4 linked regions of the Struthio camelus genome follow. The protein of the gene in region 1 purifies or fractionates together with the protein of each later gene. This does not show direct contact. Links are inferred from orthologs where the notes say so. Each region holds a gene or a part of one and is shown in the gene's direction. Other genes may lie near its edges.

Evidence for each region.
Region 2: the proteins of VAPA (region 1) and ACBD5 purify together in Homo sapiens (co-immunoprecipitation; 4 studies listed by BioGRID and IntAct, counting the BioPlex papers as one, with this or other methods). This does not show direct contact. The link is inferred for Struthio camelus from reciprocal best matches to the Homo sapiens genes VAPA and ACBD5.
Region 3: the proteins of VAPA (region 1) and RAB3GAP2 purify together in Homo sapiens (affinity purification with mass spectrometry; 3 studies listed by BioGRID and IntAct, with this or other methods). This does not show direct contact. The link is inferred for Struthio camelus from reciprocal best matches to the Homo sapiens genes VAPA and RAB3GAP2.
Region 4: the proteins of VAPA (region 1) and MIGA2 purify together in Homo sapiens (co-immunoprecipitation; 3 studies listed by BioGRID and IntAct, counting the BioPlex papers as one, with this or other methods). This does not show direct contact. The link is inferred for Struthio camelus from reciprocal best matches to the Homo sapiens genes VAPA and MIGA2.

The regions. Positions count from the first base shown.
Region 1 is NC_090943.1:116,078,921-116,086,663, reverse strand, and holds the start of VAPA (vesicle-associated membrane protein-associated protein A), read left to right. Parts: upstream 1-4,739; 5' UTR 4,740-5,039; coding exon 5,040-5,115; intron 5,116-7,743. UniProt on the Homo sapiens protein: Endoplasmic reticulum (ER)-anchored protein that mediates the formation of contact sites between the ER and endosomes via interaction with FFAT motif-containing proteins such as STARD3 or WDR44.
Region 2 is NC_090943.1:19,239,556-19,247,316, reverse strand, and holds the start of ACBD5 (acyl-CoA-binding domain-containing protein 5), read left to right. Parts: upstream 1-4,745; 5' UTR 4,746-4,791; intron 4,792-4,977; exon of another isoform or gene 4,978-5,048; intron 5,049-5,137; exon of another isoform or gene 5,138-5,242; 5' UTR 5,243-5,297; coding exon 5,298-5,373; intron 5,374-6,505; coding exon 6,506-6,626; intron 6,627-7,761. UniProt on the Homo sapiens protein: Acyl-CoA binding protein which acts as the peroxisome receptor for pexophagy but is dispensable for aggrephagy and nonselective autophagy. Binds medium- and long-chain acyl-CoA esters.
Region 3 is NC_090944.1:117,734,705-117,741,627, reverse strand, and holds the start of RAB3GAP2 (rab3 GTPase-activating protein non-catalytic subunit), read left to right. Parts: upstream 1-3,908; 5' UTR 3,909-4,021; coding exon 4,022-4,130; intron 4,131-6,923. UniProt on the Homo sapiens protein: Regulatory subunit of the Rab3 GTPase-activating (Rab3GAP) complex composed of RAB3GAP1 and RAB3GAP2, which has GTPase-activating protein (GAP) activity towards various Rab3 subfamily members (RAB3A, RAB3B, RAB3C and RAB3D), RAB5A and RAB43, and guanine nucleotide exchange factor (GEF) activity towards RAB18.
Region 4 is NC_090961.1:7,075,199-7,083,153, reverse strand, and holds the start of MIGA2 (mitoguardin 2), read left to right. Parts: upstream 1-4,949; 5' UTR 4,950-5,063; intron 5,064-6,500; exon of another isoform or gene 6,501-6,605; intron 6,606-7,354; 5' UTR 7,355-7,501; coding exon 7,502-7,597; intron 7,598-7,955. Other genes in the region: SH3GLB2 (endophilin-B2), read right to left, coding at 4,358-4,420. UniProt on the Homo sapiens protein: Regulator of mitochondrial fusion: acts by forming homo- and heterodimers at the mitochondrial outer membrane and facilitating the formation of PLD6/MitoPLD dimers. May act by regulating phospholipid metabolism via PLD6/MitoPLD.

The DNA.
Region 1 (7,743 bases):
TGTCTAGCTATCAGACAGTCCTAGTGACATCCCAGCACACAACCATTTATCAGTTGATGCAGCTTCAAAGATTATGGGGCCCTTGAGCTTGAGTTTATGCTCAGATGCAAATTACTTTCTGAAGTGTTTTGCATCAATTGCTTTGCCCAGATTTGGACGAAAATGGCACAAAGAATTATCAACATTTTCTATCTCCTAAATTCAAACTGACAAGGAAGGGCCTAACTATATAAGTGGTAGTTGAATGCTCTGAAGCCTGACGCTGCTGCCATCATCGATAATGATAACTACGTACAAAAAGGGTCTTAATCTCACCCTTACAAAAAAGAAGAAAGACCAAAAATGTTTGTGGTCAAATCATAGCTTTCTGCTGCTGCAGAGGAAAAGTAAAAGATCTTCCAGTGACTAACCTCACTATTGAAAGGCTCATATCATTCTTGTGTGCACTCTAGCAGATGGAAGCATACTTATATTTGACTTAACAATGTATTCCACCAAGTACAGGAAAATAACATAAAACCAACACATTACACATTCCATGTTCTGTATATTCAGTTGTCTCATTACATCCCTCATGAATGTATGAGAATTGTAAGAATCAATTGCCGAAAATGGTGTTCAAAAATCTGTTCCCTTAACAACACTGTCATTTTTCATTTGCCTTACACTGATGTGTCCTTGAATGTCTAATGGCTTTTAGCCCATTTTCAGTTGGCTGAGGAATCAGTCAATTCTTTAAATGCTAAGGTACCACCAATGGCCTCGAGCATTTTTGTCTTCAGCAAGAAAAGAAGCAAGTCCAAAATATGAAGTGTACAAAAATTTTACACTACAGCTATTTATCAGGATGCTATTATGTTTTGTGTTACTGATTGTTTCCCAGGATTAGTTTTTCTCTGCTTGCCTATTCAAAGTACATTGTATGTTTTTATCATAAGGTCACTAAGTAGAGAAATACCCTGTAGTTGAACAAACTTGAAGATATCCAACTAAGACCTACTCCTCTGGTCTGTGCTAACATTTGAATAACGCTATAAATCTATAATAGTGTGGACTTTGGTTTTACCTTTGATTTACAATATAACAAGTGGGCCTAAATTTATATTTGGAATTCATTAGCAGCCAAGTAAATTATGACTACATCATGCTTAATCTCTGCGTATGCTAAGAATAGTTTTGTATTTCAAAAGATAAATTGCAGCACCAAGAGGCAAGTTATTTCCTTAAAGGGAAATTAAAATGTTCTTTTACCTGTATACCTTTGCTGACTTATTTACTGACTTAGCAATGGAGCATGCATATGATACTTCAGTGAGCGAGATCTAGAATTTTCCCATTAATATGACAAACTGATATAGCACTTAGTTGCTTTTTCTGGCAATCTTAATAACAGCAAGAAATTGCCAAGAGGGTCACGATAGTCTTTCATTGAAAGACATTTTCAAGTTCAGAATTGGTAGGACTGAATAAACCACCTGAATAATAAACAGTGCAAAACAGTATTATGAGACTGAATAAACACTGATACTTCTCAGGTATAGAGAGAACTCATTTAATATTTAACAGCAAACGGTTTTGAAAAATGTCCAGCCATCTCCAAACTGAGATATTATAACAGTGGTACCAAACTCACCGTGTGAAAAACATTAAGATCTACAAACACACAGGACAAATGTTAACCTGAGATTAAGCAAATGTTAGTCTTCTGCCAGCAATGAATACACTAAGGATACTTCTGGGATGACATAATGATCTCACTCAAATCAGTGAGAGGTTTTCCACTGACTACAATAGAGCCAAGATTTCATTCCTCAACTTTGCTATGATGTGTTTAAAAAAATGAATCATATGTTGGAGAAGGCTGCCAGGTATTGCTAATCAACAACATAGGTTTTGTTTAATATAAAAAATGACTTCAGTTTGGGTGAAATAGCAGTACTGTGTAAAGCATGAGATCAGAAATTATATTAAATGCAACAAAATACATTAATGCATTACTAAGGTTGTACATGTTTGAACAACAACAAACACTACATTAAAAATACATGTTCAGGAATAATTGCCATTAACCCATTCACTCAGTGTTTATGTACTAACTTTGCCTTTACTGTGAGACTACATGAGCAGAACCCTACAAACATCAAGGCATACAGGCAAGCATTGATACAGGCTGCCCAAGAAAGCTGTGAAATCTCTGTCCTTGGAGGCTTTCATACCTAACAGGACGAAGCCTTGAGCAACATGGCTTGAACTCAGTTTTGACCGCCCCTGCTTCGAGCAGAGCGTTGGGCTAGAGCCCTCCTGAGGCCTCTTCCAACCTGACTGGTTCTGTGATGCTCCCTCTGCTAGCAAAAACGTGCTTTGGGCCCAGGCTTGAAGTCCATTCAGTTCCTCTTAACGTGCTGCTGAAGAATTAACCCAGTCCTCCTCCAACCTGCACACACCCACTGATGTCACGTGTCATAATCTAACATGCAACCATGTATATCATCAATGCGTTTGCACTGAAAAACATGCATGAGAAAACCTGTCAGACATGCTGTCATGTTAAGGAAAGATCTTAACTCCTGTTTCTCCTCAGATTTTCCTATATCAGAGTTGTATAAAAGAATTAGAAAACACAGGTATTTCTCTCTTCTGAAACTAGATTGAAGGAGCTACTTTTGAATTTGTGATCTCTACCATTATTTTTCACCCTGTTAAAAGGAGAAAGGATAGAACCTTTCGTAGCGTTTAGTATTTTAGAGCAGTTCTCCACGTCTTGATTCTTTGAAAGCCAAGACCCAAAAATTCTTTTGGTATGGAGAAACTCGGCTTGGGTTAAGTTCACTTATCACTTCTGAGAGGCATACATTGTGGCTTAATCTTTGGTGGATTCCTGAATAGAAAAGAACAGAAGGTGGAGGCAATAGAGTAACTGTCCTGGTTAACAACAGAAGAACAAATATAGTAGGACAGAAAAAAATGTATCTGTCTTTCACTTTATCTTCCAGATCCCAAGGGCAAGAATGCATAAACAGAGCGGAACATGGTAATGCTAACAAAGCCCAGCATCAGACAATAACTTTAAATATGTTGTACTGTAAATAAAGACACTATTTAAGAACTTATTTTATGGGCATCATAAAGTAAGTGTGTAGCAGGAAAACTACAGCCAAAATAGTTACAGGCCTTTAGCAACATTTTCAGGTACGTACCACAAAACTCCACCTATTAAAGCCAATTGCAATTAGGTAAAAATAGGCTGAGATACTGTTCTACAGTGTTTCTCAACATATTTCTTCTTCAGTCAGTGACAATATTAAAACTCACATTAGTGTGGTAGAATGTCTCAAACCTTAGGACCAAGAAGGACCGGTGCCAGAAATACTGCCCTTGGGACAGTTACTCAGACTGTTGAGGCTGAGGCAGGAGAACTGCTGGACCTGGTGGCTTGAAAGGGATGGCATGGACAAAGGTGCTGAAGAGCTGATAGAAGGAGACACAACAGTGGGAGACTAGGAGCAGAGGCAGACAGCTGAAACGGAGCGTGAAAGCTCTGCCCAAGCCAAGGCAGAGCCTGGACCTAACTTACGCCGAGGGCCTCCCCCCGCCGAATGGCCTCAAAACCCTTCCTTGTGGTTGTGGCTGAGGGAGGCGTATTCAGCGAGGAAATGAAGCGAGCCTCAACTCTTAACCATGGTGAGTTCGTGCTGAAGGCCATTTAAGTGATTTTTTCAGTGTATTTATCAGCAGGACATATTTTTCAAATAGGTTATTCTCCTCCTGTACATGTTCCTAGTATACTTTCACCAGATTGCAAGAGTCAAGAACTGCTTTCATGCCGGTCAACAGTGACCCTTAAAGCAGATGCTGGTTCTTGGTGGAAATCAGGAGTTAGCTAACATTTCGAGCCACACCTCTGGAAACTCCTTCCCTGCTGCTCCTCCACCGCCTACCTTAAAGCCAGGTGGAAGATGCCCTTTCCCCCCCCTCCTCTCTCTGATCTTGCATGCTGCTGCCCTGCTTATAACCTGGCTTGGGCCTTTCACCCCGGCGCGCCTCGGAGCGAGGATCGTTGTGCCCTGGGACGTCGCTGCGGGCTGCCCTTGCGCAGGCTGAAGCCCGTCCGCGCAGGCAGCCCTCCCCGCGGCGGACGGAAAGGCCGCGTCTCTGCCCCCAGCATGGCGGCGGGCCCCTGCCTCAGCCCCAACGGCCGCGCGGCACGGAGAGGCTCCTCACCTCCCCCCGCCCGCCCCCGCTGCCAGCCCCACCGGCCGGCGGCCACCCGGGGCGGGGAGAGCGCAAGGACCACAACTCCCAGCACGCAACGCTTCCGCCCGGCCGCCGCGCTGCATGCCGGGAGCCGTAGTCCCTCCAGCCGAGTTTTAAGCCGCCCAAAGCGTCGAGCCAGGAGCGCGGCCCAGTATCTTTCCCGCGCATGCGCATTGCTCCCGCCTCGTCCTCCCGAAGGAGGAGGGGGCCGTTGCTCCTTTCCGTTCCCCCTACCCCCCACCCCCGCCGCTCGCGCGCCCCCTGCAGCTCTAGCGCAGGGGCAGTTGGGAGGGGCGGGGCCGGGAGGGGGCACCGCGGCGCGTGATTCGCCGAGCGGCGGCATCTCGCTGGGTCTAGCTGTCAACTGGCGGCGGGGGGGGGGGGGGAAGTGAGGCGTGCGCATGCGCGCAAGGGGCCCGCCGCCGCCTCCGCCGCGCCGCCGCCCTCGTGCCTGCGGAGAGGCTGGCGTTGCCGGCCGTGCGCGCGCGCGTCGCCGGGCTGTTGAGGCAGTGCGAGCGGGGAGGCGGCGCGGAGGAGCCGGGAGCGGGTGTGGGGCAGCAGCGCGCGGAGGGGGCGCGACGCGACGCGACGCGACGCGGCACGGCGGCCGCCCCTCGGCCCGCGACCCGGCACCAGCGCGGAGCCGCCGTCCGCCTGCCCGCTGCGAGGGAGCGGCGCCACCGCCGCCGCCCGGCCTCCCCGCCTCCCACTCCCGCTCCTCCTCCTCCCTCCCTCCCTCCCTCCCCCCCCCCCCACTCCTCCTCCCGCGGTAGCGAGTGAGCGAGATGGCGGCCGCCGGGGCTCTGGCTAAACACGAGCAGATCCTGGTGCTCGATCCGCCCACCGACCTCAAATTCAAAGGTGAGGGGGAACCGGGCTGGGCAGGCCGGCCGGCCGGCAGGGCGGGGGGGAGCGGCGCTGCGGCGGCCGGACGGCCGGGCTGCGCCTCGGCGCTGGGCCGCTTCGAGGCATCTGAGCTCGGCTGGGGCGGCGGGGCCGGGGCGCCGCCTGCCCGGGGCCGCCGTGAGGGTGGAGGGGGCGCCGCCGAGCCGGTGAACGGGCTTCGCCGCCGCCATCTTGGGATCCGGCGGGGACTCGAGCGTGTCCTCGGCCCCGGCAGCGCCGCGGCCCGGCCCCCGCCGGACACGGCGCCCGCTGCTCGGCCGCCCGCTTCCCGCGGGCGGGGGTGGGGGCTGCGTCGGGGCCGCGGAGGCTGCCTTCTTCCCCGCCCCAGCACGGTGCCGCCTTCCTGTCCCCGCTTGTGCCCCAGACGCGGGCACCGGCCCTGCCGTGTCACGGCTCCGCTGGGGAGGCGGGCGGAGCCGCGCCACGGCCCGGCCCGGCCCGGCCCTTTAGCGACGGGGCCGGCTGCGGCCGGGGAGGGGCTGGGGTCCGGCCTCCTCCCTGGCAAGGGGGAATCGCGCTCCTGTCACTTCTGCGGCCGCAGGGGTCTGAGTGGTTGCGGATCCTTTCCCGAGCCGCTCCGTAAGGTCTCCCTCTATCTGTAGCAGGTAGGGGAGACCCAGGAGCGGGTGCCTTGCCGTGGTGCGAGCGAGCGGCGAGGGGAGCCGAGGAGGAGGACTCGGTTACCTTCGCATCTGGCCTTTTCCCTCTCCCGCGCTCTGGCCCACGGTGTGGGCACGCCTCTTGAGTCTAGCTGTTAACCGGTGCTGATATCTGTGGTGTTATTTTGCACCATCACTCATCGGATGTGTGAGCAGGTCACCCGCGCCCTCTCCCTGAGGGAATCTGACCCACTGGCTTGGCGAATGACACCCTCTTCCTCTGTCCCCCCCGCCCCCGTTTTCCCCTGGGTGTCATGTTTCAGGCAGGTTGTCAGTTAATACTTGGACTTATGTAAAAAGGCAGTTCGCTCCTTGGGAATGAGAGAAAGGAACGTGTGCATTTCAGAAGTTTCTGTATTTCAGGTATTTCATGCCAACCACATGACTATGAGTGGCATGAGATGCATCTGTCGGAATAGGCTCCAGTCAGTGCTTTAGCATTTGGGTTTTTTTCCCTCCTAATAAATCACAAATTAGATGATTGTGAAAAGATAAGCTCTTTCCAAAGCTAAGAGGGATACTTGATAAGTAGGGGTCTAAAAAAGCATGGTATAATAAACAGTTTTCAGTATTCAGTGAATTTCTTTTTAGTACCCATGATGAGTATTGAGAAAAATCTCCATGAACTTTTCAGTTTCAAAATATAAGTTTAAATAACATTGATCATGTTAAAAAAAATTAATGTTGCTGATTTTAAGTTTTGTAAGCAGCGTCAGCATATGCACTTGTCTAATCCTGTAAATTTTTCTATTTTCAGTAAGCTCATTTTTATATTGTCTTAGGGGGATAAAGCAGACTTTATGATGTTGTAAATTTTTTTTTTAATGGCCGAGTAGAGCAAATAAATATTTGTTTTACAGTGAAACATTGTATTCCCCCCAAAATACCTTTGATTGGCCTGGCTTTCATAAATAAAGCTTAAGTCTGGTTTATCATAGAGATTTATAACAAATTGTAATTGTTTTATTGATCCATCAGATCAATTAACCCAAAATCTGTTGGATCCCACATCTTCCTATTTTGACAGTTTCAGTTTTTAAATTGCACATTCACAGAGCCAAAACCATAGTGGAAACTTAGTTTTTTCACTTGTATTTTGTGTTATTAAAATGCTACCATGTTTGCCTGCACTTGAAATTTCAAGACACTGTGCTCTTCTTGTCAGAGTAAGTTGGAGGAAAATTTATGTATATTAAAAAAAAAAAAAAAGTTGCCATGTCTAATTTGCAGCTTGCAAACACTTCCAGCTTGAAGAAACTCTGTAAGTTGTATTTGTGTGATACAAACAAACTGTGGATATAAGGAATACCAAATAAATATTAGATTAGAAGGTCTGTGTGAAGCGACTGCCAATCAGTAGTCTTTATTGGGGTGTGTGTTTACGGTATGAAATAGGTAATCTTTAGGCATGAACTTTGGTTTTGGGCTAATGCATGTATGACGAAAACTTGTGTAGAGCAGACTAAGGAAAAACAAAACCTGAAGCATAATGAGACTGTAGTATTTCAATACACTGTAGGAAAAGCAGCACATCAAATGCTCTCTCAGTAAATATTTTCTAACTGCTTATTTTTCTGAGCTGTTTAAAAAAGTTTATGTACCACAAACAATAATTCAGTTCTAAAGTATTGCATTAAATAGTATAGTAGTGGCAGAAGGAAATTCTGAGAATTGTCTTTTAAAAACCAGATTGGTTAGTAAGAGAGAGTAGGCCTCAGAATAAGTGTAATTATGTGTAGAAAATCATGCGCCTTTGTTTAAAAAAAAAAAAAAAAGTATTTTTTTTTTCAGTGTAGCTGATTGTTCAAGGTTCTTTTTATTGCAACAATTGTCCATGGCTGTTACTGACCTGATAGTGATGATGCGTGTGTAACAGATCAGATTTAAGTCTAAACCTCTGAATAGAACAACATAGTTTTGTTGA
Region 2 (7,761 bases), about 97 Mb from region 1:
GGATCCTCTTTTTGGAAATATTTGAGGAGGGGGGAGGTGAAGGGAAACAAAAACGGAGCTCACAATAGTGATTGTTGAGAGATCTGAGATACCTGAATTGAACAGCTCGAAAGAGAGGTGAATTTGGATATACTAACTTTAACCCTTAACATGGAGCCTAATCCTTAGGCAAAGCAGCCACAGTTAATAATGGTTTAAAATAATTCCATTACTTAATCCCCAATTGTGAAATGATCATTTTCTCCAGTCAAGCTATTAAGGGTTGTATCTGAACCTCACAGGAAAACTTCCAACCCAAAAGGCGTTCTTGCTTGTTCCAAACGAGTCTCTCACCCAAAGGGCTTTTCCTGAAGAATAGGGATTGGCCTACATAGGTGGACAAGCTTTAACTGCTGTCTTTGCCATATTCATGAGAGGCAAATAGTTCTCTTTCGCCAGAGCTGTTGATTCTGACATAAACATCCCTCATCATTTTATTTAAAAAAAATCCTGTAAGTAAATATGAACGGATACATTAGCCTTTCTGCTGTGAACAATGTAGAAAACTACTCCTTATGAAAAGCTCTATCCTTCATAAGCCACATCTTTCCATTCTTCATCAGCATGTAGATATGACTTAGAAGTTGTAATGCTAATTTAGTTCTTCAAAATCATGACTATTAGATTTTAAATAATTCATTCCCCGTGCCTGCTGGATTACACACTTCAAAAAGTAAGTTTTGCTAAAATTACATGCTCTTGCATCTGGTAGCTTACAGAACTTGCTCATAATATGTATAAGACTATGGTCTACTTTCTTAAGAACCATTTTTACATATTTCTGTAAAATACACTGCTACGATTCAGACTCTTGAGGGAGCAATAGGTGTAATTGGTTCCAGTTTCTGCTTTTTAACTGACTCCTTTGTTTCTCAAGCGAAATGAATGTGCTCTTCAAGCTGGACTGGGGTGTAGCTTGGCACTGGAAGCAACTGCTACAGAACTAGGTCAGATTTTGGATGCAAATGAGAAGAGCATGCAGGGACAGCGGCACCTTACAGACTGCAGAAAATGAGGCTTTTAAGGTAGCTCAACACATCAGATTTGACAGACTATCCTGTGCCATAACTCCATGGGGCCTTATAACCACGCCTAACCTGTTTGTGAAGGACAAGTCTAAGGTTACAGTCAGGATCACGCTTGTCTACCTGTCATGGTGAAGCCCAGTGGCCCCTAGAACATTCTAGCAAGTGCTGCCTGTCAGTCAGGCTGTCCTCCCCCCGACCCCGGGCGTAACAGCTTTACACTGATTGCCCGAACAAGAGCACGTGGTATTAGACTGCTGCCAAAGACCTGACACCTTAAGTCTTCAATTTTGTCTGCATGCCAGTAGGTGCAAATGAAGGATCAAGAAATAAACAGTCGGCATAGGCTACATCATCGTAAAGTGTGCCTATGGCCACTCTCCGGCTATCTATAAAAGAACTACCGCTGGTAGTGTGCGCGTGGTGCCGATGGCGACGCGTGTGTGTGACGGTGGAGGAGGGAAGAAAGAAGAGGACATCGGAGCTGAAATCACTCCCCGCGCCAAAGGAAGCTTGGCAGCCCTTATCAGGGCTCGAAGAAGCCGAGTGGCCTTGTGCAAGGTCTCGCCGAGAAGCCGTGGGCTGGCAGAAGGAAGAGGACCTCGAGCAGTGCATGCGCTCTTGCCCCACCCCGCGTTCGGGATGCTGGACCGGGAGTCACCACGCAAGGGGACGGCCGTCCGTAAGACCATAAAATCCTAGAATAGGGAAAAAGGTGGACCATCACGTGTGGCCTAATTCCACCAGCTGCGGTCTCTGCACGGGGTCTGGCACACCTTTGGGGTGTGGCCAGCTCTTACTTATGGTCTCCATACTGGGGTCTGGCATGCCGGCCAGGTGTGGCCAACTGAATTCACAGTAGCGATGCTGGGGAGAGGCATGTCCGCCCAGTGCAGCCCTTTGGGCATCTTTCCTTTTATTTCTGTATATATATGTTTCGTGTTTCTATTCATTTCCACATTTACTACTGTGTGTACATACATATGATCCATCTTTTCCATTCCTTGTAAATATTGGTGTATATATACATACAATCGTTACACTGTTCACGGGTTATATCTGTTATTGCGATTGCTATTTGATTAAACGTTATTGTCAATTTTAACAGTAGCGTTTGTAAATCCATTCATCACCGCGCAAACGCCCATACTGCCACCCCAAATCTGCTTAGGTTGCGGTTGCCTGTTCACTTTGGTGTCCCTATTCATATGCCTTTCAGTTGGTGCATCTGCCCTTTAGGCGTGTACCACAGCACCAGTGGCTCAGGCCCGTCAAACTGTGACACTGCCTTTTTTGTCTACCTTCAGGCACTATGACAGCTGACTTCCGTCCAAATTTTTATGTGCCTCAGAACGTTGTCAGGAATTCAGTTCACAGGCTCTCCACAAGCAGTCTGTGAAATGCCAGCTGAAGAGAAGGTGAGTAGAGAGCAAAGCGCTCGGACAGGCCAAGTTTCACACATCATGGAGAAGGTTTGCTTCTTGGTCCTCATTCGTGCTCACCACCAAACCATGCTGGTAGCAGAGTACCATGGTCCCCCCTTCTCTCTGCCATCTCACATACTGGACATCAGTCAGTCTTTCCGGTACAGTTCCAAAGATATAGCTTCACATATACTGGATCCAAAAAAAGAGTAAGAGCTGGTCCCATTTGCTGCTTGAACTGCTTTGGAGGCTGCTCTTGCAGAGTAATAGAAACCCAGCCCAATTCAGCACATGGATTATCGTTAAGATTTTCTAACCAGGTGGTCATTCCCAACAGGTACCCAGTGGACAACAGAGAAACATCCCGTAATTTCGTTCCTTAAAGAAGGGAGTCTAGATCCTCAGCTTCCTTCAGATCAGGGAAGGCTTCAGCCAGGGCTGAGTAGAGGGGGAGGATCACCTCGCTCGACCTGCTGGCAACGCTCTGCTTAACGTACCCCAGGATACCACCGTCCTTCTTGACCACAGGGGCACACTGCTGGCTCATGGTATGCAATATGTATACACAGAGAAAGCTAACAGCAATGCTAATTAGTATTATATATGAGCATTTAACTAACTAGTCACTTATGATTTGTTCTCACAGGCTCATCAGTGCTCATATTTGCCTCTCATTTACTATTTCAGCCTTGTCTCAGGGCATGATGATACTGATTATTTTGGGTTACTTTAAGTGTCTCATTCTAGATTTGCAAATCTCACTCTCTCACATATCTTCAGTGCAAAGATGGCAGCCTATGTTGTTGCACACAGCCATTAAAGAAGTTGCCATTTGCATCTCTTTTAAAGCTTATTTCCACTGAAAGCCTGGGAACATTCATTATAAAAAATGCAGATAGCATTTTGCTTAAATCAATTAGAAGGCAAATGACATCACAGATTCTCTCAGGTAAATAGAATTTGCACATCAGCTGGCCTCACAACAGGCCCTTCATTTTTCTTTCTTTTGCAATTAACTCCCTGTATGCTCAAAGAATTCATATTTATACAGAGACCCACTTATCACAAACAGTTCCCTTTGATCTGAGCTTCTGTCATTCCTAGCTTTGTGGATAAAAAAAGAGGAAAGATCTTAGTATAAAGCTCACTAGAGGTTTAAAAATATAGCACTCAAAATGAAAAATTCAGAGAAATCTATCTGTAACATTCACGCAAGTGGAACAGTGACGTTCATACACGAGTGCATCATTTGCCCACTGTGGAGAATCCTGTTTGAATACCTCTGGAAGCGTAAGCCTCTCTCCAGCAAAGCTCTCCTCTGGCCAGCTGGCCGCTGACCTTGTGGAATATACTAGCTCAGCAGAGCATGGGCTGATCTGCTTTAATTCCCTCTCTGTGGAGCTTTTCTTTCCCACCAGAGGGCATATACTGTGATCACACAACTGCCTTAAGAGGAATTTAAAATATATATTGTGTACCAGATAAATAAACCTATCTGAATGCCAAGATTTTGTACTGAGTTCTGTTCAAAGGGCCTATTAATTCATCCTATTGCTCACTGGGTAAATTATTCCACTTGTCACAAAAGTAGCTCGTTTAGCACACTTTTGTCTGATTACTCCTAGAGTGCTGGATGTGCAGCACTTTTGAATAAGGGCATTCATCAATTTAGCTCCTGAGCTAGCTGGTTGTATTCACCCCCATCTCCAAATATTACGGCAATAGTTACTCTCAGGGTTCTAAGCTGCTAAAAACCTGTCCCTGTATTTTACAAATCCTTAAAATATTAGCACAAATATAACTCATTAAAGCTATTACAAAAATATGTGGCTACAGTGGTGTTTACTGTGTAAAGTCTGCAAGAGAACAGCTGAGAGAAGGAGCGAGAGCAGCAAGGCCGACTGCCAGGGCAGCGGGCTGTCTCTCAAAAGGCAACCGAGGGACTGGCCAAAGTCCACAAAATGGGCAGAACACAGCACGTTTTGAAACACTTATATGATTGATATATGTCATTACACAAGTAGGGAAGAGGAGAAAGAGCAAAGAAAAAGAAAGAAGCTGAAGAAGAGTCAATACAAAAATAAAGGCGAGAAACTGTTTCGCCGGCCCAGCTGCACCTCGGCGGCTCCCCGCCGGCCGGGCCCCGGGACCCGGGCCCCCCGCCGCCATCGCTCCGGGCAGCTCCGCAGGCTCCGCCTCGGCCGCGGCCTGCCCGCGGGGCCCGGCCCGGCCCGCCGCCCCGGCGTAGCCCTGCCCTTCGCGGCCGCGCCCGCCGGCAGCTCCGAGGGGCTGAGGACAAGCAGGTGCTTTTTTACGCGCACACTCGCTTTTTATTTCCAGCGGCAGGAGGAAACGTGCCGCCACTCTGGGCCGCGGAGCAACGCCGCGCCGGGCGACCGAGGCGCCGCGGGGCCAGGCCCGGCCCGGCCCGGCCCAGCGGGCGGACTACATTTCCCAGCGTGCCCCGGGCGGCCGCGGGGCGGGGGGGGGGAGGGGAAGGGAGCGGCTGTGGGGAGACATAACATGGGCGGCTGAGGCCGGGGCAGGTTGAGTCCTGCTGGTGGGCTGTGCAGGGCGAGGAGCCGGGCGGGCGGGCTGAGCCCTGCTGGGGGGCCGCTGGGGCTGGCAGGGGCGCGAGGGGGGAGCGGGGCGGAGCGCGGGGGGCCGGGCTCGCCGCTGAGGGGACGCGGGGCGGCGGCGCACGGCCCGGCCCGGCCCGGCCCCTGCCTGCCCTCTCCCGTGCGGTGGCTGCAGGCGCCGCGGCGAGGGAAGCAGCTCGGCGGCTGAGGAGGAGGCGGCGGCCGGGGACATGGCGGAGACGGGCTCGGTGCACGCCACCAGGTTCGAGGCGGCCGTGAAGGTGATCCAGAGCCTGCCCAAAAACGGTGAGTGCAGGGAGGGGGGGGTGTGGGTTATCGGCATCGGCTCGGGCCTCGCCTGCGAGGCGGCAGGGCCCGGCGGCGGAGGCGAGGCCGCGCCACCCTGCTTGCCCGGGGCGGCCGGGGGCAGGGCGCGGCCGCGGGTGGGCTGCAGGCCTGGCCCTGAGCGCAGCCCCGGCGAGGCGCCGGTGCGAGGCCCGCCGGAGAAGCTGCTGCGGCAGGTCTCGGGAGGAGAGGGTCGGCTCCTTCTCGGCCTGCGGCTCCCGGCTGTGAAAGCGGGAGAAGGGCCTGCACAGGTCGCAGGGTTGGTCTGATGGCTTCAGAGCTCTTATGTCGATGCGTTTCTTCCCTTGGAAGAGTTAAAAGGGTAAAATGAAAAATCAGGGTGTGTCTTTTTGATAAGAGTAATAAACAGGTCACTTATTACATCATTTTATTTCTGATATAAGAAACTTCTTTCTGTGGTGCTAATTTAAAAATTGCTATGAACTTCTTTAAATGACTAGAATCGAACTTGAAAATATTTCCTTTAATGGGCTGGATCTGAATTCTCTTCTCTGCCAGTTGTTCCAATTTTGCATTTATGTTTCTTGTGTCTGTGTGTGTTTCTTCCACAAAGGAAGAAGAGAGAACAAGAACAGGAGAAAGTGAAACAGTTATTGAAAGTACTGTCAAATACCCAAAGTAAACAAAAACAACAGAGAAGGTTGCTGGGTATTTTGGCTCTTCTTTGGCTTTTTTTTTTTTAATTACAGAGTCTTGCAGCAGGTTACCCTTTGTAACAGTAGGATGACTTGTGACATACTGTTTACAGAGAGCTGAATTTGTCCCTTTAACTGAGTGAAAGGAGGCTTGCTTGTTACTTATTAGTCTACTTCTAATTTTAGTCTCTCCAGTTAGAAAAAATTAAGTCTGTAGTCCCTTACACTTGGTCTGAAACTTGCTATTTCAGACCTACTGAGAATGTTTACCTTAGATTTGAGGTGGATGAAGACATTCTCCATTGACTTAAATTGTATTGCTGAGAATCAGGCCATAAAGAACTGCAGGCTATTTTCTCACAGAAATTCTAAGCTTGTAAAATACTAGTTAATATTCTTGATGCCAATTAAGTTATGTTTTAAAATGTTTTCTCTAGGTTCATTCCAGCCAACGAATGAAATGATGCTGAAGTTCTATAGTTTTTATAAGCAAGCAACCCAAGGACCCTGTAACATTCCAAGACCTGGATTTTGGGATCCGATTGGTAGATATAAATGGTAATTTATTTCATGTTTTCCTTTTTATGCTTTGAGTGGAGACATTCAGAGTCCACTTGGAGAAAGGATTTAGTGAGTTTATTTTCCTAAAATAAGAATATTCTAGTCCTTTGAGGCAAGCCTCAAATTTGTTTTCTTTCCTGTGTTCCAACTCTCTAGCTCGGATAACCTCTGACTTCTCAGAGTTGTAGGTGAAAGCATTCCCTTATGTTCTGCAGGGGGCAGGTTCTTCTTGGGTAAACACAGCATGTTACTTCTACGCTGTTTATCCCGCATTGTAGAAGCAAAGGTATAGGTGATCTGCAAAATGTATGACGTGGATGAGTGTCTGTCTAGAACTCTCTCTCCTCTGGTTTTCGAGTATGATGTGACCCCCAAGAAAATGGGTGCTTGCTGAAGTTGTATTAATGGCTTTCAACCTTTCAGGCAGAGGTCTGGTTTATGTATCTTTCTGATTTGTCTGCTTAATGGCAGAACTTCACATGGTCACTATCTTGCTCGTGTGGGGAAAACTAATTGCTAAGAGCTATTTGAAAAGCCATATCAATGTTTTGTTTGTTAACTTTTCTGTAGTTATGCTTTGTTGTAAAGAGCAAGTATTGTTGCTGTCCATGTGGTCAGTCTTTTTGGGATCTGTGAAATAAGTCTTCAGACTCTTTTGATTTCTCAAACTGGGGGAGAAGGGAGCATGTTTGCAGGGGACTGTGGCTGTAAGCTTCCAATTACCTGGTTGCTTGTAGCTGAAATGTGGGCCACCAGCCTTGAGGTTTTGCTTTAAGTGGGACAAATGGTCTGGCAAGAGGAAAGGACAGTGACAAATCAAGTGCAAGACTGAGTAAAGTGTTTTGTTCAGGCCCGTGTTCCAACAGATTCCTTCTGTGATATTAATAGATTTGATTGTAACTTCAGCCTTTCAGAATTGCAGAGGGAGAGGCCATCGGTAGTTACTGTCATAATTGGGGGTGACCTGACTATTGTGCCTCTTAGACTGACTCATCTTTCAGCAAGTGCTGAACTCTGCAAAGGACAAGACATCTTTCTTGTAACCTGTTTTAAAACGTTGACAACTATTTGTAAGTGTCAGCTGAAGTATTTGGACCTGCTTTTTCTTCAACAGGGGATCTTTTTTAAAAAA
Region 3 (6,923 bases), on another chromosome or scaffold:
GGGAGAAAAGGGATATCCCTTATTCCTTCCTTCCTCACCTACAGACCTGAGATGGGGATAAACTGCATAGACATCCATTCTGACAGAGATTCCCTTTTCCACTAGGCAGAAACGTAACCGTTTACACATAAGGTAACTATATTTCAGCAAGGCTTACCTCTGTGGAATAAGTGGCAACGCAAAGATGCTAGCGGACATCCTTCGGAATGCGTTTGGAGGATAAGCAATTTATATGCCTTGAGAAGAGCTAGGCACTGATCTGCACCAAAATCTTGAGGGAACAAAAAATACCATAGACTCAGTATGTGCAGCATGTGCACACTGATACCACTTTTGAATGCTACTAGAGAAAAAGGGAAGGGGAGCAATGAATCTGACAAAGGGCAATCTCCTGTACTGTCACAAACATGCTCAGTGAGGTAAAAACATACGTAGTGCAACGTATCTTCTAACAGAAGAAAAACAAATACATGAATATGAAGAGGCCATTTGAAGGGCTGTTAATCACAGTAGATATAGATGCACAAGTACAAGATGTTGCAGTGAGATGGACAACAGGATCTCCACCTCTGCTGGTAGATGGACGAACTACAGAATTTCTTAGTGTTTTTACACCAAAATGGAGCAAGACAGAAGTAGCACTGCACAAGGCTGTAGGTTTCATGATTTTGAATATTCTGAAATAGAAATTTCTGTATGCTACAAACTGTACACGTTCCTCCCATAATGTCTTTGATAATCCAAACAGTGACAAAACAGTGATTAAACACAAGCAAGACTAGAAATATCCCGGAAGTCGGATGCAAGACAAAATTTTAAAAATCAATCAAAAAGCGTGCCTATCACAAGCCGGAAGTTGAGTTTGCTGTTCTCCACCAAGACAAAAGGAGGCTTATCGTTAATCTGTAAAACTTGTTGAAGAAAAGCTTGCCATGAATGCTGGGGCTAAAGCCAGAACCGAATCAAAAGTAAGAGACCCTCAAGTGGCTTTGAGTAGAGCCCCTAAACAGACGAGACCTAACTTCAAATTATGAGATGTCCTCTTTGTTACAATGGAACTGAATCAAGATTCAACAAACATAATTTTCTATAGTGACATACTTTGTTTGAATAAGATTTAGCAGGATCGCAGAAAGGTCAAATCTCATCAGTCAGGGATAGCAGCTACAAGCTACTTTGGCCCAGGCTTTGCTAGTACAATTACATGTGAAAACACTGCTATTATCAAAGGCTATCTCATGGGGAGGCAGACACACATTATTTTGCACACACTGTCCATGCACATCCAAAGCTAAAGGAAAGCTGTACATGCAGTGGATGTTTAGATCACCAGTGCCCAACACTGCTCAGCTTATGAAATGCAGTTGGAATCTTCTCCTGCCAAATCACTTATCAAGTTAATAACATATTCACATGCCAAAAAGATGTGCAAGCAAAAGACGAATGATAAAAAAGGAGATACAATGGAAGATCATTTCAATAAAAATTGAAGGAAAAAGGAGAAATTAAAATTTAATTTGAAATATAAATCTACTGCCCAACAAATGCCCGACAGCGCACCTAACATGGTTTTATCATGAGAAAATATTGTTGAGGCTTTTAACATTTAAACAATAAATGCCATTTTACTTCTTTTCTTGTATTAACTTGTATTGACAAGTAAATGTACGTAACTTGTATGTTATAATGCAAGAGCGTATTTTCTATGGGTGGAAGAACGGCGCTGTGAGAAACACAATTATCACTAAGCATAACTTAGGAAAATGTTATTCTGTATGAAAGTAGCCACAAGCAACTGCAAAAAAAGTATCTTTATACTGCTGGCTTGGGTGATAGCAGCAGCTGAAATTACTGAGTTTGGCTCACTGAATGTTTTGGAGTGTTGGGAGGGGAGCACCAATATCCTGTGTGAGAGCCCCGTGGCACGGAAACAAGGGGAGTGAGTGTGGCAGTCTGAAATCGGATCATCTTTCTGGCTCAAGACTGCCTTCCACAGAATCCAGAGGAAACTGCAGGAAGAAAACTTTGGGGGTTTTCACTATCCTCTACAGGTAATTGTGTCTAGGAATATGCTTTGGCCCTCTATTAAGACCACATCAGTAGACAAAAGTCAAGAAATGCTAAAGTTATGAGTTGGACAGGACAGCATCAATCACAAATATTCAGTGATGAAAAAAGCTCCAGATGATCTTACAAACCTCAATACTTCAAAAATAAAAGTAACAAAAAACAGTAATTCAGTAGACAAGGTATTCAGGTTAGTTCATCAGGGCTTAACTCTGGTTTTAAATATTTGTTAATTCATTTACTGAATCATTCATTGCCTTATTTTATTCATTAATTAGTATCTTGTCACTTTTTTAACTTGACTTCTCTGTGTACAACACATCTGACAGGGATATTACAGTCTCTTGCAATGTTCATTAAGAGTCTCTAAAGAAGAAAATTTTCATAATGTGATAAAAGCATCACCAAACAATGATGAACCAGCTTGTTAATTTAATTTCTTGTGTGCTCTTTATTTATTCACTTGACATTACTAGAGACTTTGCACATGTTCCACATATAAGTTGTCATTAAATGTTTTTTCCGCAGGCTTTACATGCCTAATTAGTGTTTCTTTTTGAAAATCATTAGCCACTCCTCCATACCAGTGCTTTCAACTTTTCCCACAGAGCGACCTTATTTTCCAAGAACTTCCTTCCCATTGGTACACAGCATGTCATCCCTGTTCAGGAAAAAAAAAAAAAAAAACAGGATGCAATAACCTTGTATTAAATAGGCACAGCATTATTCATCTGCTTAAATTCAAAGACAACCTGTGTATTGCCTGGGGCCACAGCTTTAAAATACAAAAACAAATGTCCATGCTGTTGTTAAGGGCATGACTGCTATTGGATCCTGATTACTGTAGCAAAATAATATACAGCTGAAAATGGTAAACAAGTTTCCAGTTGAAGCCAATTTCTTTGGAAAGTGGATAGAGCTTTTCTAGAGGCTACAGCCTGCTACGCTCTGTGCCTTCAGGTAAGTCAGAAGCAATTGCAGTTTAGAACGAAACTTCTAGCAAACGTGTTCAGTCTCAGAAAGTCTTTGGAGATAAAGGTCACCCCGAAGAAGTGTATCAAAGCCCAAACTTTCTATACTTTAAGAATGGTTTATTTGGACTATTTGCTCAGTCATTTCTGCTTTTCACTACTAAAAAAGCACAAACGTTGTTATCGACAATAACAAATAAAAGACGTTTGTGGGACAAGAAGCAACAGGATTTTCCATACAGTTAAAGCCCTGTAAAGTAAGATTTATTAGCAAATAACTTACAGGGCTGCTAACGGGGCAATGTCTGTGGAGCTCAGAAATCACCCCCCCGAATTTTGCTCGCACACGCTTCTCTCCGCCTTAACCCTGGAGGGGTCAGCTGTCAACACGGTACGTTCACGTTAAACACAAGAAATACCTGCTTGCAAAAATAATTAAGAGTAGAAAGCAACCCTGCCTCTCGCTACCCACTGAAGGCGTGCGGTCCCAATCCGCCGCAGCATTTGCTGCCTTTCTGGGTTCTTCACCATCAGCTGCGGACGATGAAACCGTTGCAGCATGTCGCCGCACCTTCCTCGCGACCGCCGCCTCTGCTTCCCTGCAGGTCAGGCCGCGGCCCCGGGGATCGGCGCATCCCTCGCATCCCAGTCACTGCCGCTGCCCGCACACCGCTCACCTCCGCCAGCCGACCCCGCCGAGAAGCCTTCGCTCCTCCGGGCGGCAAGGACCGGAGCGGAGCGGCCCCGCCGGGCCCACACCCTCCCACCCCACCAACGGCCCCCCCGCCGCCGCCAACGGCTGCCGGGGTCACGTGCCCTCCACCGCCCCCACCGGCCCCTGTCCGCCCGCGCATGCGCCCTGCAGAGGCCGTCGGGCGGCCGGGAAGTCGGCGACCGTTTCCGGGTTGGGCGGCCGGCGCCGGGAAGGGGGCGGCGGCTGCGGCTTCGGCTGCGCTGCGACCACCGCCACGACCACCAGCACCATGTCGTGCACCCTCGTCCCCTTCGGCCACTTCCAGGACCTGGAGGCGGCTCGCGACTTCCTGTGCCCGCACCGCCGCCAGGGCAGCGCCGCGGCCGGCCGGGAGAGCGGTGAGTCCGCGCCGGGCTGAGGGGCAGCTGGTGTCGGCCCGGCCCGCCGGGCCGTGCGGGAGGGCGGCGGGGGCGAGGCGGCCCCCGGCGCGTCCCGGGGCGGCGCGGGAGGGGAGGGGAGGCGGCCGCGGGCGGCCGAGCGGCGTTGCCGTGCTGCGGCGGTGACGGGCGCCTGGCGCCAGGGCCGAGCGGTAGCGCAGCGGTTCTCCCTGCTCCCAGGGAGCTTCTGGTGGACGCCTGCCCTCAGGTGCGGGCCGTCGTCCTGCAGGCCGCGGGGGAAGGTCTTTGCCGGCGCGGAGCCTGTGTGCCGCAAGTTCTGCAGTTTTGCTCCTTAAAGGGCTGCAGTTTCTCTGAGGGGCTCCTGTCACAGTCAACAAGTGTTGCCCGCGTAGGCTTGTCTGACGGTGTAAAAGGCACTGCGAGTAAGGTGAACGTTTAGTTCGGGGGCCTGAAAAGTAAATTCGCCTCATGAGAACTGCAGTCTGAAGTTGAGGAGCAGGTTTCTGAGCAGGAAGCTGAGCTGTCTGGAGCAGAGGCTGTCTTCTGGACAGAAGAGAAGGACAGGCAGATCCATACACAGGCCGGACGCTGCAGGGCAATGAGTCACTGCCCTGCCTCTTGTTCGTGCAATGTGAAATTAACTGTATAGGCCAATATTTGCTTTTTTTGTTTGTTCTTTTTTTTTTTTTTTGGCAACTGTGTGGTAAATAAAGAGTTTGGTAGAGGCCCGTGGAGGTGCTTATAAAGACCTGTCAAGTATTAACAGTGCTGTGAGAGAAAGCAGAGAGGCTTACTTAAAGGGTGGATAGGAAAGAGGGGGAAATGGTGCAACGGTTGTGAAGGTGATGTAAAAATACACTTTATGTTCTGCTAGTTAACTTTACCAGTAAAAGTTTTGCATGAATATTACTATAACGTGTTTTATTGTTGTTTTCTTCTTGTGTTCAAGGTTGAAATCGATTTACTTTGTTGTTGAAATGCACTTGGAAGAAAGTAACTTCAGAAGAAGTTTATACAGTCAGATTTCATTGTCATACCTTAGATTATCCAAAACTTTTGCTAGAAAACAGTTATGTGCTACTTTGGTACATGTTGTTTTACTCCTGTAATGCTCTGAAAAATGCGTGCACTCTTGGTATCGTCTAAATCTAAAGGAGAGGTTTTGGAACCATTTTAGAAATTGTTAGTGTTTGTTGAACATTGAAGATAAAGGTGAAAGATGGTAACCCACATTTGTTTTCCAAAAATATGTGCGGAAGAAATTAAAATATTTCTCTCTCATTTGGCAGTGTACATGAGAATAGTCTGTGTTAAGTAACTTCTGCTGAATACTTTTCTTCTGTCAAAGTAGATCTATCAAATGGCAGCTGTAAAGAGAGAAAACTTTTAAAGTTTTGGAAGACTTCCAAAAACGAGAGGAGCAAAGAATGTTCTAAAATGTGCTGTTCTTCAATTTTAATGAGTTGGCTGTGTTCTGGAGTAGTTTTATATTTACTCATTCAGTCATTGAGGCAGACCAGTGTTGGAATCAAGTATTTTTCAAAACACTGCTCATTTGGGTATTTTCAAATCTTTCAGATTTATATGTTGTAATTTATTGATACTGCATGTGTGTGTTTTGTTGATACTGCAGGTATTTTCTTGGTTCAGGATAAATAAGCATAAATGTGAGTGAAAAAGAGTTCCCAAAGCGACTTTTATATAAGAATATAAACTACTGATGTTGAAGAAGAAATTGCTAGTGCATTCATCTTTGACAGGGAGAAACACTTCCAAAACTTATCTCTTATCTTAAGATACCTTCACAAGTTGCAACAGTATCTTTTAGTTAGGGGGGGAAAAAAAGAATTTGACTGCATGGGACGTTAAATCCTTTTCCTGTCACGCTTGTTTCGCCAAGTCTGCGTTGCTGCTACTTTGCTGCCTAACGAACTGAATAGTTAAGCTGCAGGGTTGTTTGGAACATCATTACGTTAAACTGAGCTGGTATAGATACTGCAGCCGTTGCTTGCCTTTTGGTCTTGAACTCCAAGCTGATTCAATTTAGGAAAACACAAGGAATGATCTAAATCTTAGAGGATCTGCTTTCTCTTGATGTAAATGAGAGTATGAAAAGCTGCTAGCTGATGATGCGTGTCAGGAGTTGCTGCTCTGGTTCATTAAGTTTTTCATTCTTTCTTCCTTTATTCTTTTCATCTACATATTATCCTCTTCACTTTTCTTATTAGTAAGCATCTGACTTCTTGCATAGCAGTCTAAAAATTGCTTTGTTTTGTCTTTAGTGATAATTGTATACTTTGGCTCTTACATTGTTCACGTGAAAGAACTCTTTGCTGGAAATAAAGAGTAACGGGAAGTTTGAGAACACAAAAGAATCCTCTGCCTCTAATGTTGTGCACCAGGAAAAGAAAACAAAACATTGTCCCAAGCAATAAAAAAAAAAAATGCATGTTGATATAACCAGAGCAAAGGCAAAGATTTTTAAACTAACAACATCTAAATAATTGTTTCCTATCAGAAAGCTTTATAAAAACTGCTCCCTTGGCAGAATGTATTGTTTTAAAATGATATTTTAATAAAATTTTACATTGGAAAACTTGGACTTTTATCTACATTTTTACTCTTTAAGGGAAAAAGTAGAGAGGAGTTTGCTTATATGTTTAACGGAAAATAGCTCACTTGCAATCACATACAGCTTCTATACTGTACTTACATAATTGCTTATATGTGAATAAATATAGCTTAATAAACACCAAAATTGTAATGAACCTACTCTTTTTGTTAAAAAAAAAA
Region 4 (7,955 bases), on another chromosome or scaffold:
CCACCCTGCAGGAAGCATCCCTGCAGCTGGCCCAGCTGAGCACTAGTCCTGTTCTTGTGCAAGGAAGCCAAAGAGGTGATTAATAATGCAGGGCGGCCTTTTGTTGAGTGCCACACTCACTCTCCAGGAAGAGAGCTGTGCTGCATTCCAGGGCATCAATAATTCAGCCAAAGGTTGGGTTTCCTCTGGGAGGCTTGGCTGGCCAGCAGGAACACTAGATGCATTATCAGGGCCTGTGTGGACAAGCAGGATGACAGATCAGGAGAGCAATACTTGGAACAGGCAAGGATTGCAAAAGCAAGACTATGCTGGACTGCAGTTAGGGCAGGGGTCCCAGCTTGGGAGAAACTTCCTCTTTCCCCACAAGAGTTGGAGGAGAGACTACTGGGATGTCAGGGAGGGTGGGCAAGTGGGGCTGAGCTGGATGGGCCCCTCTGCTCTACAGCTAAAATATCAAAGAGGCTGTGCCTGCAGCCCTAATTACTTTGGCCATCAAGACTAGACTTTAAAAATAGCGCATACATCGCTTTGTTGAAAGCATTAGCACCTTTCTCCCTTTAAAGAGGGGGGAAATATAAGTCAGTGGAAGCACTGATATTTTGTTAGCACTACATCTGTTTTGAACAATGCAGCAGAAGTTAGACTTGTATCTCTTACAGGTCTGTGCAATTTTTCCATAGATCTCCCCTCCAGCAGGCCCACTCCTGTACGCTGTGAGCTCTAACAGGGTGGCTACAGCCCCCTTGCAGAGGATGTGTTCAGGCCCTTGTACCACTTTCAAGGTTCCCAGCTTTTCCAGTTGGATGTTCCTTGTTAGACATTGTTACAGGGAAATTGTGTTCCACCTTAAATCACAAGGATCAAACCAGGGTCAGGAGTCTTGAATCGGGACTTCTCTTGCACCTGCCAGTAGATTTTCTGAAGCCTAGAAACAGCTTCATAACACCCAGGTTACTGTAACATTTGCTCTTTTGGTGGTCAGAGGCATGAAAGAACCAAATTCAGACAAGTCTATGTCCTTTCCCTTGTACAGGGTCCCATTAGAAGAGAAGCTATAGCTACTCAGTCAGCATCTAAAAAACTACCACCTGAATCAACTGCTTTGGACCAGATACAGAGCATGCTTCAAGCATTTGGTCACCTGGAGTCAGAAAAGCTAGGATGTGAGCCAAGAGAAACTGTGTTAGAGGACAGAAGGAAGCCATTAACAGGACAGCTTTACTAACTCAGGAGCAAGGCATGTAGGAGAGGAAAAATAACCATCCTATGCTCATACGTAACCACAAATGTGTTCTGACCTGCACCTCTTGCCTTCAACCCCCTTTTCTTCAGTCACATCCTGTTCTCTGATTTTGCATTTTAAAGTGCCCAGTAGCCAAGCAATTAACCCCAGTAAGCTCATGTTAGCAGAGCTGAAAAGTCTATTTTATCACTCGAGTTCAGGAAGATGGGGGAGCCTGTCTTTTCTCAGGAGCTGCAAGATAGTAATTACATTAGCAGTGGGATAAGCACTCAAAAGCCATACTCATGCTTGGGCAATTTCACCCAGAGTCAGCTTCTATCAGGACTGATAGGAGACAGGCACCTACAATTATTTCCAGACATCCCTGAGAAACCCTGTCTAGAGCAGAGACTTCCAGTGTGCTACCTTTGCAGCAACAGTTGCCAGTCCTGGAGGCAGGTTGGAGCTCTTAGTATCGCTCCCTCTGCTGAGGTTTGGGGATCAGCCCCACTTACAGATCACTGAAAGGTCCAGCTGTGCAGGCAGGAAGGCCTTAGTTTTACTCAAGGAAAACAACGAGAGTGATCTATTTGAAGTTTGTCTGCAGGTGCCAGAGCAGGAGCTGTTAGGGGCCAAGCGCTGCATCCCCTCTGAGGAGGTAACTGGAAGTGACTGTTTGGTGGTGTGTGTCAGTAAGGCATACCTTTAAGTGGGATGCCAAGTCCTACAACAGCCCTTTATCCCTGCAGCTGCCCAAGGCAGAGCTGACTGCGTCTTCTTGCTCTATTCCATCCCCAAAACTTGTATCATCTGCTTTGCTAAAGGAGAACAGAGATGCCATGGGGTCCACAGACACTGCCATGTCAGTGAACCAATACACAATCTTAGGAAGATAGCTGGCACTTACACAGTTTTGGGGAGATATTGCACAGCTTTTGTCATGGCCACCTCTGCTCATGCTGGAGATGGGTATGGGCTTGTCCACTGGAGAGCACAGATCCTCCAAACTGCTGGCTTCTCCTCAGTTAGCAGAACTCCTAACTAGCACCCGAGCTGAGAAAAGCCACGTAAAGAAAGCAGTGGTGTTTTTTGCCACTAGCCAGCCAGGTCAAGCCTAGGCCAACATTTTTCCTGCTCATCAGCCAGTCTCTGGGAAGCTACCCCAAAGACAGTGTGCCAAACCAGTTCTGCCTCCTTTTACCCCCCACCTTTGCAGGCTGGGTGATGCCACAGCACTTCTTCCAGTACAAGTTAAGCTCTTGTGTGTTGGCCAGACATCTCAGCCAGACAGTAACAGCTAATGCTGTCTGAGTAGCACAGCACATTAAGGCCGGTCCATTTATCTCCCAGTCACTGCAGTTCCAGTAAAGCATCACTTTGTTAAATGCCTGGAGGAGAAGGAAGCATCCCCAGTGCTCTAGAAAACTGAGCTTATTCTAGCCAGGTCTTATTCCTCTCCTGAAAGATCTGCTGTGCTAAGAAGGCTACTACAAACCTAATCCTTATTGCCAATAGCAGACCTCAACTGTCATTTGCTTCTTGGGGTGGACAGAGCAATGCTCAACTATGCCAGTAGCAGAGCTCTGTGGGGAGAGCCCAAATGCGACTATTTTCCCCAGCAACAGCATTTCAAGAGGTGGTTCTCAGCATCAGTGATCCATATTCTCCCAGTCTGCCCTGCTTATGCAAACACTAGCACACACACTCCAAAAGTACCTGTGCCACTTTGTTTCAAGTAATTACTACTGTAATTAATCATGTGGATATTCATATGCAGGATGATATGGAGTAGGTGTAGCAGGCAGGAGCCACTATTTATAAATGCCTCCCTGCTCTAGAATTGCTGTGTGCAGACACTGTTCCCATGCCTGTCTCCTTCCTACGCCTTGTAGAAGTCTCTGATAAATGGTTGTTAGCTTCAATAGGCCTTCTAAACATACAATTTCTTTACAGCTTTTCTCCTTTCTTTTGTTATCAAGGTCATTTGCATGAGAACAGCATCTTTAAGCTCTCCATCTGCTCCATGTTTTGCACCTGTAGTTAATATTTCTCTTTCCATAACATATGACTCATTGGCACAATAACAGGAGGTGATATCTGTTTACAGGAGACCAGTTTCCAAAAGAGCCTGAATTACTCCATTGCACAGAAGGCTTGGAACAAGCTAGCACTGTTCTGGTTGTTTTTAATCAGCCCCCACATAATAGGGGGAATAAGAAGCCCAGCCCCAGAGTCACCAGCTGACTTTCAGTTCTCAGGCAAGATCCCAACAAACTCCAGCTTAGCCTCCTCCCTTGCCTTCTTCTGCCCATCCAAGAACAGCTATTCCAGTTATTATGCCCAAAGAGTGGACACACTCAGCAGCCACATCTCACTGCTTGCAGCACACTTAACTCTTTGTGGGTAGTCAAGTTTCTTCAGCCTACAGCTTCAAGGGGGTCCTTGCATCCCCAGCAAGCTCCTGGTATTAAGTCCTGGTGCCAGTTTAGTCCAAGCAGACCCTACCAGCTCAGTCTCAGGAGCCCTTTCCCACCATTGTAACAGCACTGCATTCTGCCAAGTCCTGTGAGCTGCTGCCACCCGACCTCGAGGTCGGAGCACAGGCCATCTGCAAGCCCATCTCTGCTGCAAACATTTACCTCACCGAAGGGAACAGCTCCCCAGTGGGCCTGGCCTTTGGCATAGACACAATTAACACAACAGTCACCTGCAAGATAAGCTTTTGCAAATAACCACCATTAGACAGTTATCACCACACTTCCCCTTTCTACACCCTTCCAAAAAACGTATTTATTAGAAGCCTCTCTGAGGCCTCTCTTACTCCGTTCGGCTTCACGATGCCCTGGACCCCCTCCTCATCAAGGAGGCAGCAACACCGTCCAGTTGTGCTCTTGCTCGGCGCTACCCCGCCCCGCTCGAAGCCGACAGCGCCCGGAGGTGCCTGCTCCTGCCCGCGCCTCGCTCGGCGGCTGGGGGGCCGCAGGCGGAGCCAGCCCGGGGAACGGCTCCGGCCCGGCGGGAGGCGGCTGCCGCGGGGCCCGGCCTCCCCTCAGGCCGGGGCCCGTTGCCATGGCGACGCGACACGGCCCAGCTCGGCCGGGCCGCCCCCCTCGTCTCAGGGGCGGCCCCGCTCACCTGCACCGCCCGCGAGAAGAAGACGCCGGCGTCCGACGCCAACTTCTTCACGTTGAAGTCCATGATGGGCGCCCCGAGCCGCCCCTGCCGTGCCGCGCCCCCGCTGTCGCCGCGGCCGCCGCGCAGCCCGCCCTTTATAGCGCCGATCGATGCCCTCCTCGCGCCGCGCCGCTGCCTCTTAAAAGGGTCTCGGCGCCCTCCCCCACCCCACGTCGCCGCCAGCTGTCTTGCAACGCTGTCCCAGCTATGAGGAAGGCCTGGCGGGAGGCAGCAGGCTGGGATCCGCGCTCGCGGGGCAGTTGGTGAGCGCCTCAGGCGGTGGGCCCGCCCGCGGCTGGCATGGCCCCTTTAAGCAGAGCCCGTCGCCTCGAGCGCAGCTGTCAAGTGCCATCGAATGGGCGCTCGCACCGCCCCCTCTCCCCCCCGCCCCGCGGCCGCTCGGCGCTCTCTGCTCAACCGCACCCGCCGCCGCAGCCCCCGGCCCGGCCGGGCGAAGCCACCCGATTGGTCCTCGGGGAGGCAGCTCGCCGCGCGGATTGGCTCGGAGCGCTGGCGGGAGGCGGCCCCGCCCCGCCGCGGCAGGCCCCGCCCCCCGGCGAGGGTAGGCTGCGGCGCGGGGGAAGGAGACGCTGCCCTTCCGCGGCCATGGCGCGCGGCGGGGGGAGAGGGCGCCTCGCGGTGCGCCGCGCGCCCCCCCCCCGTCACGGTGAGTGGTGCCGCCCGCGCTCGCGGGGGCCGGGCCGGGCGGGCCGCACCATCGCGGTGGGGGAGGGGGACTCTCTCGGGGGCGCAGGAGGCGTGGGAGGTGCGGGAGGTGCCCCGGGGTGCGGGGAGTGCGAGAGGCCCGGTGATCTTTGGCTCCGGGCAACACGGGGAATGCCCCAGGGGTGGGGAGTCGGGGGTCCCCCCCGGGTGCAAGGGGTGCGGGGGATACCCGAGGGGAGCAAGGAGCCCGGAGACCTGCATGGGTGCACGGGGTGCGGGGGATACCCGAGTGGTGCAAGGAGCCCGGGGACCTGCATGGGTGCATGGGGTGCGGGGGATACCTGAGGGGTGCAAGGAGCTTGGGGACCTGCATGGGTGCACGGGGTGCGGGGGATACCTGAGGGGTGCAAGGAGCTTGGGGACCTGCATGGGTGCAACGGGTGCGGGGGATACCTGAGGGGTGCAAGGAGCCCGGAGACCTGCATGGGTGCATGGGGTGCGGGGGATACCCGAGTGGTGCAAGGAGCCCGGGGACCTGCATGGGTGCACGGGGTGCGGGGGATACCCGAGTGGTGCAAGGAGCTTGGGGACCTGCATGGGTGCACGGGGTGCGGGGGATACCTGAGGGGTGCAAGGAGCTTGGGGACCTGCATGGGTGCACGGGGTGCGGGGGATACCTGAGGGGTGCAAGGAGCTTGGGGACCTGCATGGGTGCACGGGGTGCAGGGGATACCTGAGGGGTGCAAGGAGCCCGGAGACCTGCATGGGTGCATGGGGTGCGGGGGATACCCGAGTGGTGCAAGGAGCCCGGGGACCTGCATGGGTGCAACGGGTGCGGGGGATACCCGAGTGGTGCAAGGAGCTTGGGGACCTGCATGGGTGCACGGGGTGCGGGGGATACCTGAGGGGTGCAAGGAGCTTGGGGACCTGCATGGGTGCACGGGGTGCAGGGGATACCTGAGGGGTGCAAGGAGCTTGTGGACCGTCCAGGCGCAGCAGCTCCGGAGGCTGCCCAGGGGCGCATGGTGCAGGCGGTACAGGGATGCCCAGGGGTGCAGAGGGCCCGGGGAGCCCCTCGGGTGCACGGGTACCAGGAGCTTGGGGAGCCCTGGTTGCAGGAGCCAGGCGTGCTGCAATGCTTGTGGGCCATGCCTGGCCAGGGGCAGCGGGAGCACCGCTCGGGTGTTCACTCCTCCGCAGCCTGGCGTGCGGGCATTGCCTTGCCCTGAGCGCCCCAGCGGGGCCAGGGCTCGGGCGAGATGCCCGGGGACAGCGCAATGTCCCTGGTACTGTGCACGCCCCCCATCAGCCAGACACGGGCTGGATCCTGAACCCAGGATTTCTTGCCCCTCGCTGCTCTCTTCTGTGCTCTGGCCAAAACGTTGCGTTTAACCTTGCACTGAGAGCCCGTCACGTGAGTCTGCTCCCTGCAGGCTCCAGCCACCTTGAGAGGCGTTTGCAAATGTGGCTCCCGGATGGGGTCATGCCCTCCCCGGGGCTCGTGAGACCTTGGGTCTGAGGGCGCTGCGAGCGCTACGGTCAGGTAGGAGCAGGTAGTTATCACGCAGCTTTAAAACACGGGATGGGTTTAGCTCGTCGGTGTGGGAAGACACGAGAGCCCGGCCCGGCCGGACTGCAAGCCGCACACGGGAGGTGCAGCGTCGCCGGGCTGCGGTGGACTTGGCTCGCCGGAAAGAGCCAGCGGAGCCAAAGCGTTTCTAACTTTGTTGCAGTTAAAAGACACCCCCAGGTTTCATCACGTTCTTTCCTAGCTCTGTCCTTGACGTGAAGCACGCCTGTCCTCCCCGGCTCCCCGCGCGGCCAGCAAAGCGCCGCTTAAACCTCAGCTGCTTTGAAACCCCTGGGCAAACGCTCTTTTCTCGGTGGCTTTTGAGCAGATCTTTGATGCGGTCGCAAAACTGAGGGGGAGCGGAGTTTTGCTAATTAAAGTGAACACAGGGTTTTTTGGACGAAGGAGTTTTTTACAGGGGGGGCTGCAAACAAAATCCCTGCAACTGCGTGCAGCCGCTTTTGGCGCGCGTGGAAATGTCTGGTGTAGTCGCAGCTATCCAGTTCGAGGATGCTTGGTCTCCTGCTGTAGAGTAGTTTGGGCATCTGCCCCCACGGTTAGTAGGAGAAGCAGAAACTGCTGCTGTCTGGGAGAAAACGCTTTAGCTCTCCTGTTTGGCCCTAGCTGCGGTGCTGCGCTGAGCCTGGTCGGCGTTCAGGAGTGCCGCGCAGAGACGTGAGCGCGCGTTCCCTTCACTCGCCTGTTTTTCCCTCTTCGTGCAGGAAGAGGATTGCTGGCTGAAGACTGACCCCAGGACGCCGAGTCAGAGGTCGAGGGCAAGCTGGGTTTCCTTGTGAGCAGCCAACGCAGCGTCTGCAAGCGCTCTTCCCCGTGGGGGCTCCTGGAGGTGCCGAGGTGCTCGTTCAGACATGGCATTTCGAAGGACAGAGGGGATGTCCATCATCCAGGCCTTGGCGATGACCGTAGCGGAGATCCCCGTGTTTGTTTACACGACGTTTGGGCAGGTACAAGAAGCAGAAAAAGCTTTTCTGACCGGTTCCTTGGATTTTCTCTTTGGGGGTTGCCTGCAGAGAAAGAAGAGCCTGCGTTAGTTGAGAGGGAAGGAGGAACAGCAGGGTGATGCTAGCAGAATTTGGCAATTTTCACGCATCTCATCCAGGGAGAACTCTTGGGTTCAACCTTTCTTGTCTGCAAAGGCACTAAAACAAGATTTTAGTTTTAAAGATGACTAATGTATTCCCCACTTGTAATAATGCAACACTTGGAGCAGTAAAGCTCAGCTGTGTACTGGGGTTTCAGAGCTGCATCTGGATAACTTGGATCTCACGTGTTATGGGCTGCATGCAAACTTTTCAGGGTGTT